Regions from separate parts of the Mus musculus genome. Here region 1 is reported to be linked to region 2. Evidence: microRNA targets listed by miRTarBase, many of them from high-throughput screens and not tested one by one. Region 2 holds a microRNA gene; the other region holds the end of a gene's coding sequence.

Region 1 (7,894 bases), not on the chromosome of region 2:
CTTTTTCTTTCCTTTTAGGCAGGATCTGTTATGTTGCTCTAGCTGTCCTGGAACTCCATATACCAACCAGGCTGGCCCTGAAGTACCAGAAATCCTCCTGCCTCTGCTTCCCGAGTGCTGGGACCAAAAGTGTGAGCTGCCACCGTACCCAGCTTTAATAAATTCTCTCCTTTCTCCCTCCCTCCCTCTCTCTCTCTCCCTCTCTTTCCCTCCCTCCCTCCCTCCCTCCCTCTTTCCCTCCCTCTCTCTCTCCCTCTCTCCCTCTCTTTCTCTCTCCCTCTCTCTCTCTCTCATCCCATTAATTTTATTCCTCTAAGAGAACCCTGACTTATGCTGCTAAAGAGACTAAACAGCTTCAGAAATATTTCTTAGCCATTTGTCTTTCTTCTTTGAGAATGCTTTGCTCAATTCCATAGTACATTTTTAATTAGACCATTTTTTTCTTGATGTTTAGTTTTTGAGTTCTTGTATATTCTCAATGGTAACCCAAAGTCAGATGTCTCCATGGAAGAGATTGTTCTCCCATCCTGAAGGCTGCTTTTCACTCAACTTTCCTGTACAGAAGCTTGTGAGTCTCCTGAGGCCCATTCGTCATCTCTGCATGATCAGGGCCCTATTCAGGAAGTCCTAGCCCAAAGTCTAAGTGTCACAGAGAGAAAAAAGGGACTGTCTTGGGGTGCTTTCCATTGCTGAGATAAAACATCACAGCCAATAGCAACTTGGGAAGGAAAGAGTCTATTTGGCTTGAGTCTCCTGGGTCAAAGTCCATTGAGGGAAGCAGTGTGAAATTTGGGATCCCTGAGAAAAGACCATAAACTCAATCCAGTTAGAAGATTTATTGGTTATCCCCTAGCAGGACAAGCAACCTCTGAGCTAAATTTGAGATTACAGCGAAGGAGGGATTTGGGAAAAGACTTTTAAAGGGGAAAACCACAGGACGACCTTCAAGATCTATGCAAGCAAGAAAAAAAACTGTTCTTTTATGCCAAGTTAAGTAAGGCAACGGAAAACAGTCTTTGGGTATCTTCTTAAGCAAAACTGAAAAAAACCAATTAGTCATATCATAACAAGTAGATAGTGACAGCTGTACATTTTTGGGTGGGGGATCGCTGAATTCAGGTTACTGGGAACTTATCTTCCAGGGACTAGAGTCAGAGACAAATGGCTGGGGTACCGCGATGGTATCTAGTATAAAATGGAGCTACTTTCACGTAACTGAAGCCCAGGCAGGAACCTGGAGGCAGGAACTGAAGCAGAAGCCACAGAGGAGTGCTGCTTACTGGCTTGCTCTCCAAGGCTTTCTCACCCAAGTTCAGTTCCAGGAGATCCAATGGGACCTTCTAACCTCTGCAAACACTAGGCATGTGCTTGTTACACATACATACAGGCAGGCCAAACATTCATAAAACAAATCAACCTAAAACAATTTAAAATATATGTTTATCAATACTAAGTATATAAATTATCTTACCATGAAAATAAAACACAAGCCGTTAAAATGAAAAGTTACACCAAATTATGTTCCAACATTTTACAGGGTTTCATTTCTCATTCACAGATGTTTAAAGGCCTCCGAACAGGTTAGCCTGATACTGGAAGGAGTTAGTGAGTTAGAAGAAAGCGAGAAATCTCATAGAGTGAAAGGAATGGCCAAAGAAACAGGTCAGAAGGCTTGAGAGTCAGACCTGAGAGGCGTCTTGGAATGGAACCCTGCACACTTGTCCAAGCTCTGTCGCTCTGAGTAAGATGAGGTGATCCAAGAGCCTGCCTGGCCAGGCTTTGCTTCCAAGCCCTTCTCTGCCTTAGAGCGGGCATAGGGAGAGAAGGACAACTTTGCCTTAGAGCCCAAAGACTGCATCCAGTTGAATCTTGGGAGTTCCCCAACAGCAAACACTGCAACCCAAAGGTATATATCGGGACCCACAGAAACAGAGACCTCTGCAGCAGAAGTCACAGTTTTTGCTCTGCCCCCCCCCGCGCCCTCCCCACCCCCCAGCAGGGATAAATCATGGGCTTGGCTTCACACTGAGGTCTGGAGCTCCCAAGGGATGAAATCAAGACCACTAGACATTGGAAGGAAGAAGAAATGAGAAAAATACGCTCATGGAATTCCAACACACAGACAGACAGACACACACACACACACCTTGAAAAGTACCTTAAAACCAAATAGGTTGAGACAGGACAAGCTGGAAATGATAAGTGCTCAGCGGACTGAGGCAAAAAAAAAATATTTGATTTTGGAGGCCATTCTGGGCTACTTAGTGAGTTTTAGGCTGCCCTGAACCAAAAAGAAAAACTCTTGTCTCAAAATGAATTAAAGACAAAAAATGATTTGAGAGGATTTGTAGGCAAATGGAAGTTACAATCTATTTTAAAACAAAGTTTGAGTCTAAAAATTGAAAAGTAAAATAAAGTCAGGTGTATATGAGTGAGACTACTGGAAAATTTGAGAAGGAAAACATGGTTAATATTTTATAAAAATATATTTTATATAAGGGTAACTATAATAAACATATCGACCTGCATGTAGTGAACATCAATAAGAAAAGTGGAAGACAATGTTGAACAGATTACCCCTAATGCAGTGCAGATGTGCATTCCTCACTGATTTCAGCATGTCCTGAACTCGTGTGTCAAGAGCCTTTACCAGATCTAGGCAGGGGAGGGTTGGGTCAGGGAGGTGGGGAGAAAAGTAGAGGGATGTATGCGTGAAACTAAGGCTGTCTGAAAAGGCTTACTTTGTAAGCTAAAACAAAACAAACCCCCAGTGTGGTAGTGGCGAGGTGGTGGCTCCCAGCACTCAGGAGACAGACAGGTGGATTTCTGAGTTTGAGGCCAGCCTGGTCTACAAAAGGAGTTCCAGGACAACCAAGGATACACAAAACCATGCCTCAAAAACAAAAACCAACCAACCAACCAAATAAAGAAGTGAACCCTTGAACAGTGGTAACCAGAGTAGGACTCCCAGAAGCCGTAGGCTGGAGAACTGCAGTGTCGGGGTGAGTTATCCTCCCCAAGTGCTGGGGTTAAACCTGGCCCTGTAATATATCCTTTTTTGAAAACCCTTAGTCAGTTTCAGCTGTGGATGACAGGTCTGAATGAGGCTTACAGGTCAAGGGTGTGGCGGTAGTGTGTAGGCTGCATACATTCAACTGTAGTCAGTGTCACAACACAAATGAACATCATTCATTCCTCCATCCCATTAAAATTAAGGTGAAGAAAAACAACGACTACTTTCTAAACCTTCAAATGCTCATCAAATAGATTCGATACCTCTTATTGAGGTCTGGTTCTCGGCAGCCACCTGTTGTGATGTCAGTGAGCATCAAAGTAACCTCTCCCCTGAGAATCAGAACAAAACTCCAGGCTGCCGGGGACTGCAGTAGCTAATAAAATATACAGGACAGTTGTGACGCTAGAAGGAAAAACCCACTTTAGTTATGACCAGTCACTTAGAAAATCCCTGAGGCTCAATAAGACCCTCCTTCCTCCCCTACCCCCCACCCCCCACGTGTTAGATTTGGACTCTTTTGACACCTGGGAGCCTGTTAATGTCTAGGGGCTACACAGAACTGGCTCCATGCCTCAGCCGCTGCAGCATATGGAAGTGGGCCCAGCACTTCCCTTAGGCAGCACAGTAGAGCCAGCCCCGAAGGCATGAGAAGTAAGAGCTGGCACTGGCCCCTTGCCAGCCGCAGCACTGGATGAGCTAGCTGGGGCAGTCAGTGCTGGAGAGCTTGCCCTGGTGGTGTGGGGTGCAGGAGCTGGCGGGCTGAGCAACTCAGCTACCATCCAAGCCCAGATCCAGGGCTTTGAGCTGGCCATCCCAACATCTATTCCATCTATGAACAGCTAGAGCACATAAAGGGGCTGGTTCTGTAGATCTAAAGTTGCAGGACCTTCATGACACAGGATAGCTGAGGAGTGCAGGTGAGGATCCAGTATTGATAGTGTAGCAGAAGCCAGAGGCCTCGAACCAGATCAATGATTTACTGCTGTGAGCATTTGCAAATAAAGATGGACAAAAGGATATACTAAGTGACATACTACTGCAGCTTCCGAGAGACTTATTTTCTTTTGGGGGTGTTGCAAGGGCGGAGGGCAGATAAGGTCAGGGGGATAAGTGGGATTGGGGTACATAATATAAAATTCACAAAAATCGTTTATGAAAAAAATCTTCAGAGTAGCTGTTAAGATGTAGGAATGAACTTTTAAGTGCTCTTTCATCAAGCTAATGTAACCAAACCCATTACACTGTAGATGACACATGCAGTGACAGCTACAGAGAAAAAGGCACAAGGGAAATGATCTGTCATCGTGCATGACTGGCAAGTTGCCCTGCACCACACACAAGTCCAATGAGCTCTGTGTTCACAGACAAGAGGTCAGACCAATCCTTACCACCACCTCCATGAGGGAGCTGTATGCCTTGCCTCCATACTGAGCAGAGCTAGTATAGGGAGCAAATGCCAGAGAATCATAGAACTTTCCAGAAAGTGTAAAATAATTTAACATTAAACATCTGCATGTAATAACTGACATCAATAAGCTATCCCAGTGGTCATAATGTAAGCCACTTCAAAATGTGCTTTCATAATAAATAAATACATTTCATTTACTGTGGAAATAAAAGTAAAGTTGGTAAGATGAATGCCAACTGTGTCTCTGGAATGTCCCAAGGCTCTGTAAGATCACTGGTAAATGCAATAAGGAGTAGTAAAATATTCAAAAGTGTTGGCACTGGATAGTTAGATGAGGCAGCAAGAGTGTGGGCCAGTTGATGGGGAAGGTTCCAAGCAAAGGACATATAGGCACAGATGGAGTGGTGCAGAGCTAGTCACAGCATGGCTGAGTAGAGGAAAGGTGACAGCTAGTGACATGGAGGCACTAGGTTAGCTCACATAGTCTAATCAACTAGTAATGGAGAAGACAGTGGTCAGGCTCTATGGTACACTAGCCTAGCTCTTCTCAGCAAACTAAACTGCTTGGGCCCAGTCCCTACCAAGTCCTCTGTAAGATGCACCCTTGTGCTTTTCTTCTGTCCTACACACAATAATGGAGCTAGGAGGGAAAATACATGGGAATGGCCACAGAACAAAACTAGAGAGGCAAAGGGAGCACACCACACGGTACACAGGTCTATGAAGAAAGTCAATTACATTTTCTGAAGGTACCTGATTATGTGGAAATGTTAAAGATTCATTCAACATGGGAAAGTATATAGAAATACCCTTGTAGAAGACCATTTTCTAAACTATGCTCCACTAAACATCATGTTACAAATACAATACCATAGGGTTTCTGACCCCATCTCCCCACAGTGAAGAACTGACCCAAACCCCCATTGTTGCACTGTTAAGAACAAATCAGGAAGCCAAAGGTGGTGGCGCATGACTTTAATACCACTTAGGAGGCAGAGGCAGATGTATCTGAGAGTTCAAAGCCAGCTGGCTTACACAGTGAGTTCCAGGACAGCCAAGGCTACACAGGTTGTGTCAAAAATTGAAAGAAAAAAAAAAGTACAACTTGTCATCTCAAGTCTTATGTTTTTAACTTCTGTCAATACATGCACAAACTGCCTCAGCAGGAGCACTGAGAAAGTGTGGTGAGTCGGCCCATACAAGCAGAATAAAATTTCTATTTGTAAGACAGAATACCATTATAAAACCATTCTACAAAATACCTTCTTGAAATTTCATTTTAAGATGAGGAAAAAAATAAATCTGTCATTTTATTTAACATTCATTCTGAAGTTACAGTTTTATCAGTACAATCTGCTTCTAAAGAAATCTTAGTATAATCCTAAAAGCATGCATTTATATACAGTAAGATCTACATTCCTAAATAAATTACATACATGATATATATTAAACAATAAAGAATACCAATTTGAGAATTCAGGACATTTATTTTTCTGCATGGGAATTTAACTACTATGCAACACACAGCAATTATGTTTACTAGGTAGTGAGACACTTATGTTTACTAGGTAGTGAGACACTAAATAAGCATACTCAAAGTGTCTAAAACAGACTTTGTTTTTTAGGCGACAAAATATTTTATGTCCTTAACATCTCCCTCACCTAGCACCAGATGCAAGGACTTAACAGTAAACATGTACAATCTCATGCTTAAAACCTAAAGCATGCATTGAGTCAAATTGATACCTTCTGATCTACACTACTATATATGCAATATATACTTCTTACAAATACTTTATACATTAAGTTACCCTGCAGCATTCTGGAACTTTAATATCTTTGAATGGTTTATGAGACAAGTTTTGAGGTTCATCTGCAGGCTGGCTTGGGTCAGGTGAGAAATGGCAGCAATCTGAGGTTTATACTAAAGGAAAATGGTGCGTGTTCCTATCAACCATGTAAAGATACCTATGTACATGGATGACACAGACCTGTGCAGCTGGAGCCACCAGTGCAAATGCATGCATTGAGGTACTTAGTTTTTCCATGGTCAGGTATAATTATGCAATCATTTTTCTCAAGCACTGAAGATTTAAGACTTAATCAAATGAAAAGCCTGAACTTTAAGTATGAGATATTTATATCGTTAATTTCCAACTTTTAATGAAGATTCACCATTATAGGCTTAGATATCTCACTGAAATGTTTAACAGTATATTTTCTTATTGTACAGAGACTGATTGGTAATTATACCTGGACAAGTGACAAATAGCATACTTGATATTCTTGCGGGACCTGTAATGAAATAGTAAAATACTTCATTATTGCTTCATTGGACTGAAAAACCTAAGAGGCAACAGCAGTGCTCGATGGTGAAAACTAAACATGAGGGCAGCGGTGTGCCCCTAAATGTCCTCTGTGCACTGTGAACTAAGCGTTCTCCACACTATCAATGCCGTTGGCATCCACGTGGATATCAGGCTCCACACAGAAAGAAGAAGGGATGAAGTGGCTAACAGTGGGACACAAACAGTTCTTAAGCTCTGGCAATTCTTGCTTCAGGCGCTCCAACTGCTCCACTTGGAATATATTTGGCTGTTCAGGCATCCAATCATATATCCTATGGTGAAAACAGACACACAATAAGAATAATGTAATTTCATGTTTATTAAGGACTGTCTGACTTAACTTTTTAAGAAAATCCATTTTAAAACTACCTGGAATATTCATTCTTATTGTATTTTATTCTACTTTAAGATAATGATAAAGATCAAAGCATTAGGTGAATTAATTCTCAGAATAGACTGTTCTTTTGTAACCCCGGTCATAAAACAATTCCTTGAATCAGAAAATGGAATTTGTAGTGCTCTAGTGATTCTTGAAGTATACAACTGGTGATGCCTTAGTTTACAGGAGGAAAACCTCCTGAGCCCTGAAACTTGTCCCCAGTGACTTAACTCACAAATGACCAGAGATCAGAAAGAGCCTCTGGTAGGTGAGGCCTGCTCACAGACAAAGACCAGCTATATATGCAATGAACGACACAGGGTCATGAGAGGGAAGACAGCATATGAAGCTGATCCTGCTATCCCCACCTGAGTGCTGGGATTACAGTCATGGGCCACCACACCCTTTAAACATGGTGCTGGGGGTGTGGCCAGCCCCTGTGTATGCTAAGTAGACACTAGAGCTATTCATCCCTGCAGCATGCATTTTTAACGATGAAAAACTACTTCTCAACAACAAGGTTAAAGCACAGACTATGCACATGGTACAAAGCTGTTACACTTTTCTACTTTATTTTCTAACATTTAGTTGGGAGTGGTTAATTTAGCTTTATCTTGCTTCTGTGCAAGCAGAGACTGCAGTCATGCCCCTCAGAGCCCAGCTTGTTGACTCATACTAGGGGCTCAGGAACACAGGCCAGGGACAGAGAACTTGAGTGGCATTGGGAATGGCCCAAGTTTAGT
Region 2 (7,894 bases):
TCCTTTTGTTGTCTAATTGCTCTGGCTAGGACTCCGAGTACTATACTGAATAGGTAGGAAGAAAGTGGGCAGCCTTTTCTAGTCCCTGATTTTAGTGCAATTGCTTCAAGCTTCTTTCCATTTAGTTTGATGTTGGGTTCTGGTTTGCTGTATATTGCTTTTATTATGTTTAGGTATAGGCCTTGAATTCCTGATCTTTCCAAGACTTTTATCATGAATGGGTGTTGGATTTTGTTAAATTCTTTCTCATCATCTAACAAGATGATCATGTGGTTTTTGTCTTTGAGTTTGTTCACATAGTGGATTACGTTGATGGATTACCATATATTAAAACATCCCTGCATCCCTGGAATGACACCTACTTGATCATGGTGGATGATCGTTTTGATGTGTTCTTGGATTCGGTTTGTGAGGATTTTATTGAGTATTTTTGCATCGACATTCATAAGGGAACTTGGTCTGAAGTTCTCTTTCTTTGTTGGGTCTTTATGTGGTTTAGGTATAGAGTAATTGTGGTTTCACAGAATGAATTGGGTAGAGTACCTTCTGTTTCTATTTTGTGGAATAGTTTGAGGAGAAGTGGAATTAGGTCTTCTTTGAAGGTCTGATAGAACTCTGCACTAAACCCATCTGGTCTGTTTTTGTTTGTTTGTTTGTTTGTTTTGGTTGGGAGACTATTAATGACTGCTTCTATTTCTTTAGGGGTTATGGGACTGCTTAGATCATTACTCTGATTCTGATTTAATTTTGGTACCTGGTATCTGTCTAGAAATTTGTCCATTTCAACTAGGTATTCCAGTTTTGTTGAGTATAAATAGCCTTTTGTAGTAGGATCTGATGTTTTGGATTTCCTCATGTTCTGTTGTTATGTCTCCCTTTTCATTTCTGATTTTGTTAATTAGGATACTGTCCCTGTGCCCTCTAGTTAGTTTGGCTAAGGGTTTATCTATCTTGTTGATTTTCTCAAAACAAACAAACAAACACCCAGCTCCTGGTTTGGTTCATTCTTTGTATAGTTTGTTTGTTTGTTTGTTTTTGTTTCTACTTGGTTGATTTCAGCCCTGAGATTGACTATTTCCTGCTACTTGGGTGAATTTGCTTCCTTTTGTTCTAGAGCTTTTAGGTATGCTGTCAAGCTGCTAGTATGTGCTTCTTCTAGTTTCTTTTTGGTGGCACTCAGAGCTATGAGTTTTCCTCTTAGGATTGCTTTCACTGTGTCCCATAAGTTTGGGTATGTTGTGTCTTCATTTTCATTAAACTCTAAAAAGTCTTTAATTTCTTTCTTTATTTCTACCTTGACCAAGTTATCGTTGAGTAGAGTGTTATTCAACTTCCATGTCAACTTTGGCTTTCTATTATTTATGTTGTTATTGAAGATCAGCCTTAGTCCATGGTGATCTGATAGGATTCATGGGACAATTTCAATATTTTTGTATCTGTTGAGGCCTGTTTTGTGACCAATTATATGGTCAATTTTGGAGAAAGTACCATGAGGTGCTGAGAAGAAGGTATATCCTTTTGTTTTAGGATAAAATGTTCTGTAGATATCTGTTAAGTCCATTTGTTTCATAACCTTTGTAAGTTTCAATGTGTCTCTGCTTAGTTTCTGTTTCCAGGATCTGTCCATTTATGAGAGTGGGTTGTTGAAGTCTCCCACTATTATTGTGTGAGGTGCAATGTGTGCTTTGAGCTTTACTAAAGTTTCTTTAATGAATGTGGATGCTCTTGCGTTTGGAGCATAGATATTCAGAATTGAGAGTTCATCTTGGAAGATTTTACCTTTGATGAATATGAAGTGCCCCTCCTTGTCTTTTTTGATAACTTTGGGTTGTAAGTCGATTTTATTAAATATTAGAATGGCGACTTCACCTTGTTTCTTTGGACCGTTTGCTTGGAAAATTGTTTTCCAGCCTTTTACTCTGAGGTAGTGTCTGTCTTTGTCACTGAGGTGGGTTTCCTGTATGCAGCAAAATGTTGGTCCTGTTTATGTAGCCAGTCTGTTAATCTATGTCTTTTTATTGAGCAATCGAGTCCATTGATATTATGAGATATTAAGGAAAAGTAATTGTTACTTCCTGTTATTTTTGTTGTTAAAGTTGCGATTATGTTCTTGCAGCTGTCTTCTTTTAGGTTTGTTGAAGGATTGATTATTTTCTTGCTTTTTCTAGGGTGTTATTTCCCTCTTTGTTTTGGAGTTTCCCCTTTATTATCCTTTGAAGGGCTGGATTCATGGAAAGGTATTGTGTGAATTTGGTTTTGTCATGGAATTCTTTGGTTTCTCCATCTACGGTAATTGAGAGTTTTGCTGGGTATAGTAGCCTGGGCTGGCATTTGTGTTCTCTTAGGGTCTGTATAACATCTGTCCAGGATCTTGTGGCTTTCATAGTCTCTGGTGAGAAGTCTGGTATACTTTTGATAGGTTTGCCTTATATGTTACTTGACCTCTTTCCCCTTACTGCTTTTAATATTCTGTCCTTATGTAGTGCATTTGTTGTTCTGATTATTATGTGTTGGGAGCAATTTCTTTTCTGGTCCTGTCATTTGGAGTTCTGTAGGCTTCTTGGATGTTCATGGGCATCTCTCTCTTTAGGTTAGGGAAGTTTTCTTCTATAATTTTGTTGAAGATATTTACTGGCCCTTTAAGTTAAAAATCTTTATTCTCACCTATACCTATTATTCTTAGGTTTGGTCTTCTCATTGTGTCCTGGATTTCCTGGATGTTTTGAGTTAGGATCTTTTTGCATTTTGCATTTTCTTTGATTGTTGTGTCCATACTTTCCATGGAATCTTCTGCACCTGAGATTCTTTCTTCTATCTCTTGTATTCTGTGACTGATGCTCACATCTATGGTTCCTGATTTCTTTCCTAGGGTTTCCATCTCCAGAGTTGTCTCCCTTTGGGTTTTCTTCATTGTTTCTACTTCTATTTTTAGATCTTGGATGCTTTTGTTCAATTCCATCACCTGTTTGGTTGTGTTTTGCTGTAAAGGGATTTTTGTGTTTCCTCTTTAAGGTCTCCTACCTGTTTAGCAGTGTTTTCCTGTATTTCTTTGAGTTATTAATGCCCTTCTTAAAATCCTCTACCAGTATCATGAGATATGATTTTAAATCCGCATCTTGCTTTTCGGGTATGTTGGGGTATCTGAGACTCACTGTGGTGGGCATACTGGGTTTTGAAGATGCCCAGTGGTCTTGGTTTCTGTTAGTAAGATTCTTTCATTTGCCTTTTGCTATCTGGTAATCTCTGGTGTTAGATGTTCTAGCTGTCTCTGGCAGGAGCTTGTTCCTCCTGTGATTTTTTTAGCTCTTGACAGCACTCCTGGGAGATCAACTCTCTCCTGAGTCCCAGTGGTCAGAGCACTCTCTGCAGACAAGCTCTCCTCTTGCAGGGAAGGTGCACAGAAGTATGCAGCTCAGATCCACCTCCTGAGTTCTGGAGTCTGAACCCTCCCTGGATTCTGACTCTCCTCTGGCAGGTCTGGGTCTCAGCTCTGTCTCCTGGCTGAGGATGAATGCCTGAAGGGACCCTGTCCAAGGAACTCTGTTGCTTCTGCCACCCACATGCTCTCTTCCATAGACCGGTCTTAGTGATCCCAAGATTCTGGGTGTGTTAGGGCCTGCCTTTGTCTTTTGACCTTGTTGCTGCTATCACAAGACCCTCTGGGATTTTTGGAACTGATGTTGCCTTCCACTCACCAGTGATCTCAAGATCCCGGGTGTGCTAGGGTGCCTGCAACGTGGAGAGTCCTCTGGGGAGCTTAGGACCCTCCACCGAGATCGTGCCCAAGATGATGAGGGTGCAACTTGTTTCTAAGGAAAGGTGTGACACCTTGCCTTTACAATACTGGCATGTCAGAACTAGAGTCCCTTCACATCTGTTTCAGAACTTGCCAGCTTCAGATTTTTTTTATGAGGCATTTTTTAGGTGAGTAATAGTCTCTTAATTACGGTTTTAAACTTTATGCTCCTAATAGTCAATGATGTTCAGTATTGTGTACATGTGTGTATGTGCATGTGTGAATTGCACATGCGCTTACTTTCTATTTACTTTTCCTTGTATGTGGTAAACAACATAAAACTTACTACTAGGTACACCCATTGGAAAACACCAATCTACTTTATTTTTGTAGCATTTTATTAATATTTTAAAATTATATTTTTATTGTTTAAAACAGTTTTAAATTCAAATATATTTTGATTATATTCTCCCTGCCAAGTCCTTTCAGGTCCTCTCCCCTCTATATCCACCCAACTTTAAGTTCTTTCTCAAGAAAGAAACAAAAAACAGAGACAAACAAAACTAATACAACAACAAAACCCTCCAAACCAAGAAAAAACAATAAAACAACACCCACATAAACAAACAAAACAAAAAAACCCCCACCAAACTGTAACCAAGTAAAATCAGACAAAAATGTGTGGGGTCCATTGTATGTTGGTCAGCTATTCTTGAACATGAGACCTACCCTGAAATGGATGATGTTCCCAGTAGATCTGCCCATAGTAGAGATGCCACATAAATAGAATCATTTGATATATAACCTTTGTGATTGGCTTCTTCCATTTAGCATGATCCTTTCAAGGCTTTTCCACGATCTAGCATTTATCAGTAGTTGACCAATTTTTATGTTTGAACTATATTCCAGTGTATGGATATGCCACATTCCATCAGCTGATGAACTTTGGGCTGTTTATAAATTTGGCTATTTTGAATATTGTTGTCCAAATTATCTGAAGATATTCAGTTGACTCTTTTGAGAATGACAGGATCATAATTTACCACCCAGTTGTTTTCTTAGGAAGTGGACTCATTGCATATTCCTTACAGAAAAGCACAAACACTTCACTTCTCCATATCCTCACAAAGACTCCTTGATTTATATTAAAAAGTTATAGCTATCTTCAACAAAAGACATTGAGAATAATGGTTTTATAAACTTAATGTATGCTAATGAATTTATAGCTCTAGTGGTTGTAAGTTCACTGTTTATCACACTGTGTGGTCTTGCTATGCACTTCCCTAATGGATAATGATGTTGAGTACATTTTCATGTATTCATCTGTATTTCTTGGGCATTGTATTGATTCAAGCCCTTTGTTCATTTTAATTGAGCTTTCCTATTCCTTTTGAGTTGTAGGAGTGAATTCTTTATATATTCTCCATGCAGATTCTTATTAGAAACGTGACCCATCAATCTTTTCTCTCATTTTATCTTTTTATTTTCTTTTATAAATTATTATTATCTTATTTGATATTGTGTGTGATTTGCCTGCATGCACACCTGTGCACCGAGTGCATGCCTCGCACATGTAGAGGCCAGCAGAGCGTCAGGACTGGAGTTGTACATAATGACGAATCGCCATGTAGGTGAATGGAATTAAACTTGGAATTAAAAGATCAGTCAGTGCTCTGGCCAGCCAGTGTTGTTATTTGCTGAGCTATCTCTCAGGCCCCTTTGTACTCTTTTGATAATTCTAAAATAAATGAACATTTGATTTCTGAAATAGTTAAAATTATATTTTTCTTTTAGAGAGAGAGAGAGAGAGAGAGAGAGAGAGAGAGAGAGAGAGAGAGAGAGAATAAGTGATATCTAAAAACAACTGTCAAATATAAGGTCATGAGAACTTACCCCTGTGCAATTTTCTAGGAATTTGAGGTTGTAGTTTGTGCTTTCTATCTTGTAGAGATTTCAATACTCAGTATGAAGCAGAAACCAGCATCACCCTTTTGTTTATGGAGGTGCAGTTGTTTCAGTGCCCATGCTGGTAAGACTACATTTTTCTCCACTTAATAGACACTGGAACATTGTCAGAAATCAGCTGATCATCTGTGGGTTTGCTTCAGGACTCTCACTTATGATGTGTCAATCACATCTACTCTCATGCCAGTCCTGCTTTGAATGGGTAGCTACAGTTTTGTAGTAGTTTTGAAACTAAACTGTGACTCTTCCAATTCAGCTCTTCTTTTAATAGATTATTTTGGGTTATCTAGGGAACACTTGAAATTTTCTAAGAAAAAAAATCTTGAATCAGTTTTGTAAATATAGTATTTATTTTATTTTTAGATGTGTGTGTGTGTGTGTGTGTGTGTGTGTGTGTGAGAGAGAGAGAGAGAGAGAGAGAGAGAGAGAGAGAGAGAGAGAAAGAGACTCTGGGTATGCACACATACATAATGCTGGTGGAGTCCCGAGGCATTGGATCCCCTAAAGTTGGAATTACAGGTGGTTATGAGCTACCAGACTGGGATCCTCTATAAAATCACCACTCACTCTTCACCTCTGAACCATCCCTCTAGCCTCTTGAATTGGGTTTTTCATTTCTGCACTGGCAACTAGGATCTGGATCTGGATAGCAGTGGGTTTGAGCATCTTTTTGGGTCATACCACCTCTTACACGTATCATCTTTCAATTCATAGCACCTCTTGGTTCACTTAGGTCATTGTTCCCTTCTTTCAACAATATAGTTCTTGTGTAAATCTCCCATGATTAAATGCAAGTATCTTTAGTGTCATGTTCTTCAAATCTTTTGCCCACTTTAAAACAATTGAACCATTTGTATTATTTTAAATTATTGATTTGTGTGAATTCACTATACACTTGGGATAGTAAACATTTATCAGATATGTGCTTTTCTAACACTTTCTTTTATTTTGCAGTTGCCTTTTTATTCTCCTTATGGTACCTTTCAAATATATTGGTTTTAATATTCAGTAGATACAATTTATCATTTCCTTTTTAAATAATTTGTGCTCTTTCTATTCTATCTAAAAATGCTCATGAAACCCAAGGTCATACTAATCTTCTCCTATGTTTTCAGTTAGAAATTTTATAGCTTAAGGCTGTCCATTTATGTTTCTGGTCCACTTCCAGCTCACCCATGAGGGGATATAACACGGGCTCTGAGTCTAAAGTGAAGTGTACCAGTTTCTGTTTCACTGTTTAGTAGTTATGTCACTAGAGGCACAGTTTGCATCAGAAACCAGAACATCCTCATTTAAAGCAGAGACAGTATTTCCTTCTGGATATCAGGACTGATGTGAGCATCAGATGGGAACAGTCCATGAGGAATGTCTAAGATCAGAGTACAAATGCTAACCATGACTACTCTAGCTGACATCAAGGAAGAAAGAATTCGATGACAATTTGTCACCATTGGGGAAAAGCTAGAACTCAAAAACCACCAGCAGTTAGACAGGCTCGAAAAGGACTAGCTTTTATGTAGGGTGTGTTTGAATTCTAAGTTTGCTTCCTAGAACCATAATTGTCCTGGAGTTTTGCAATCCTTAACTCACCTTTGCAATGGATGAGAATCTAAGGTCTCTTAGAGCCAGAAAGGAGGGGGTCAGTTATAAATAGATCTCTGTGACTTACACCAAGTAAGGGACTAAAAATGGGGAAGGGAGGGGAAAAGAAATGGAGGGTGGAAGCAGGGAGGGAGGAGGGAGGAAGAAAAGAGAGAGAATAAGCATTAGACTATCATGATACAAAGAAGTCCAGCCACAGATGACAGCAAGGGAAGGGTGGAGTAAGGAACTGGAGAACTGAAATGGAGCCTCTGTTGTAGTCTTCTGACTGTGGCAGTAGGTCAGAGGGCATAGCAGTAGCCCTCTCCAGGGACAGGGACAGAATAGTTCCTGTGATCTTGTCCCATACTCTAGCAACATCCTACTTTTCTGTGAAACAGAATTACTGACTGTTCCTCAAGTGCACGCTTAACTCTGGAAAAGTTTGTGCAGTTGTTGGAACACTGCTACTCTCATGGCCTTTTCCTGTCTAAGTTCAACATCTTGCAATATTCCGCTAAAATTCTGTTTTAAGAAGCTGTTTCTTATGGTTTCTTCTGCAAGTTGTCTCTGTATTTTCAAATAGCACTTTGCATATCTTTTGTGTCATAC

The links. Region 2 holds the annotated microRNA mmu-miR-3970 (GAGGUUGUAGUUUGUGCUUU, at 5,654-5,673, shown strand). A microRNA usually pairs through its seed, bases 2 to 8, with sites in the 3' UTR of a target mRNA and lowers its output. Matches are read on the target gene's strand: a 7mer-m8 pairs with bases 2 to 8, a 7mer-A1 pairs with bases 2 to 7 and ends in A, and an 8mer does both.
Region 1: miRTarBase lists Gpcpd1 as a target of mmu-miR-3970. Seed matches in the 3' UTR shown: 7mer-m8 at 5,491-5,497.

The regions. Positions count from the first base shown.
Region 1 is chr2:132,523,699-132,531,592 of GRCm38, forward strand. Gpcpd1 (glycerophosphocholine phosphodiesterase 1) reads right to left here. Exons shown (of 20, transcript NM_028802.3): 20 at 5,384-7,044. The coding sequence ends at 6,855. It overlaps 1700026D11Rik (RIKEN cDNA 1700026D11 gene), which reads left to right. Exons shown (of 4, transcript NR_028286.1): 4 at 19-359. Among named protein-coding and RNA genes, the nearest start is that of 1700026D11Rik, 37 kb to the left of the region's middle.
Region 2 is chr19:33,151,469-33,159,362 of GRCm38, forward strand. Mir3970 (microRNA 3970) reads left to right here and starts at 5,644; the gene lies at 5,644-5,733. It also overlaps the pseudogene Rnls.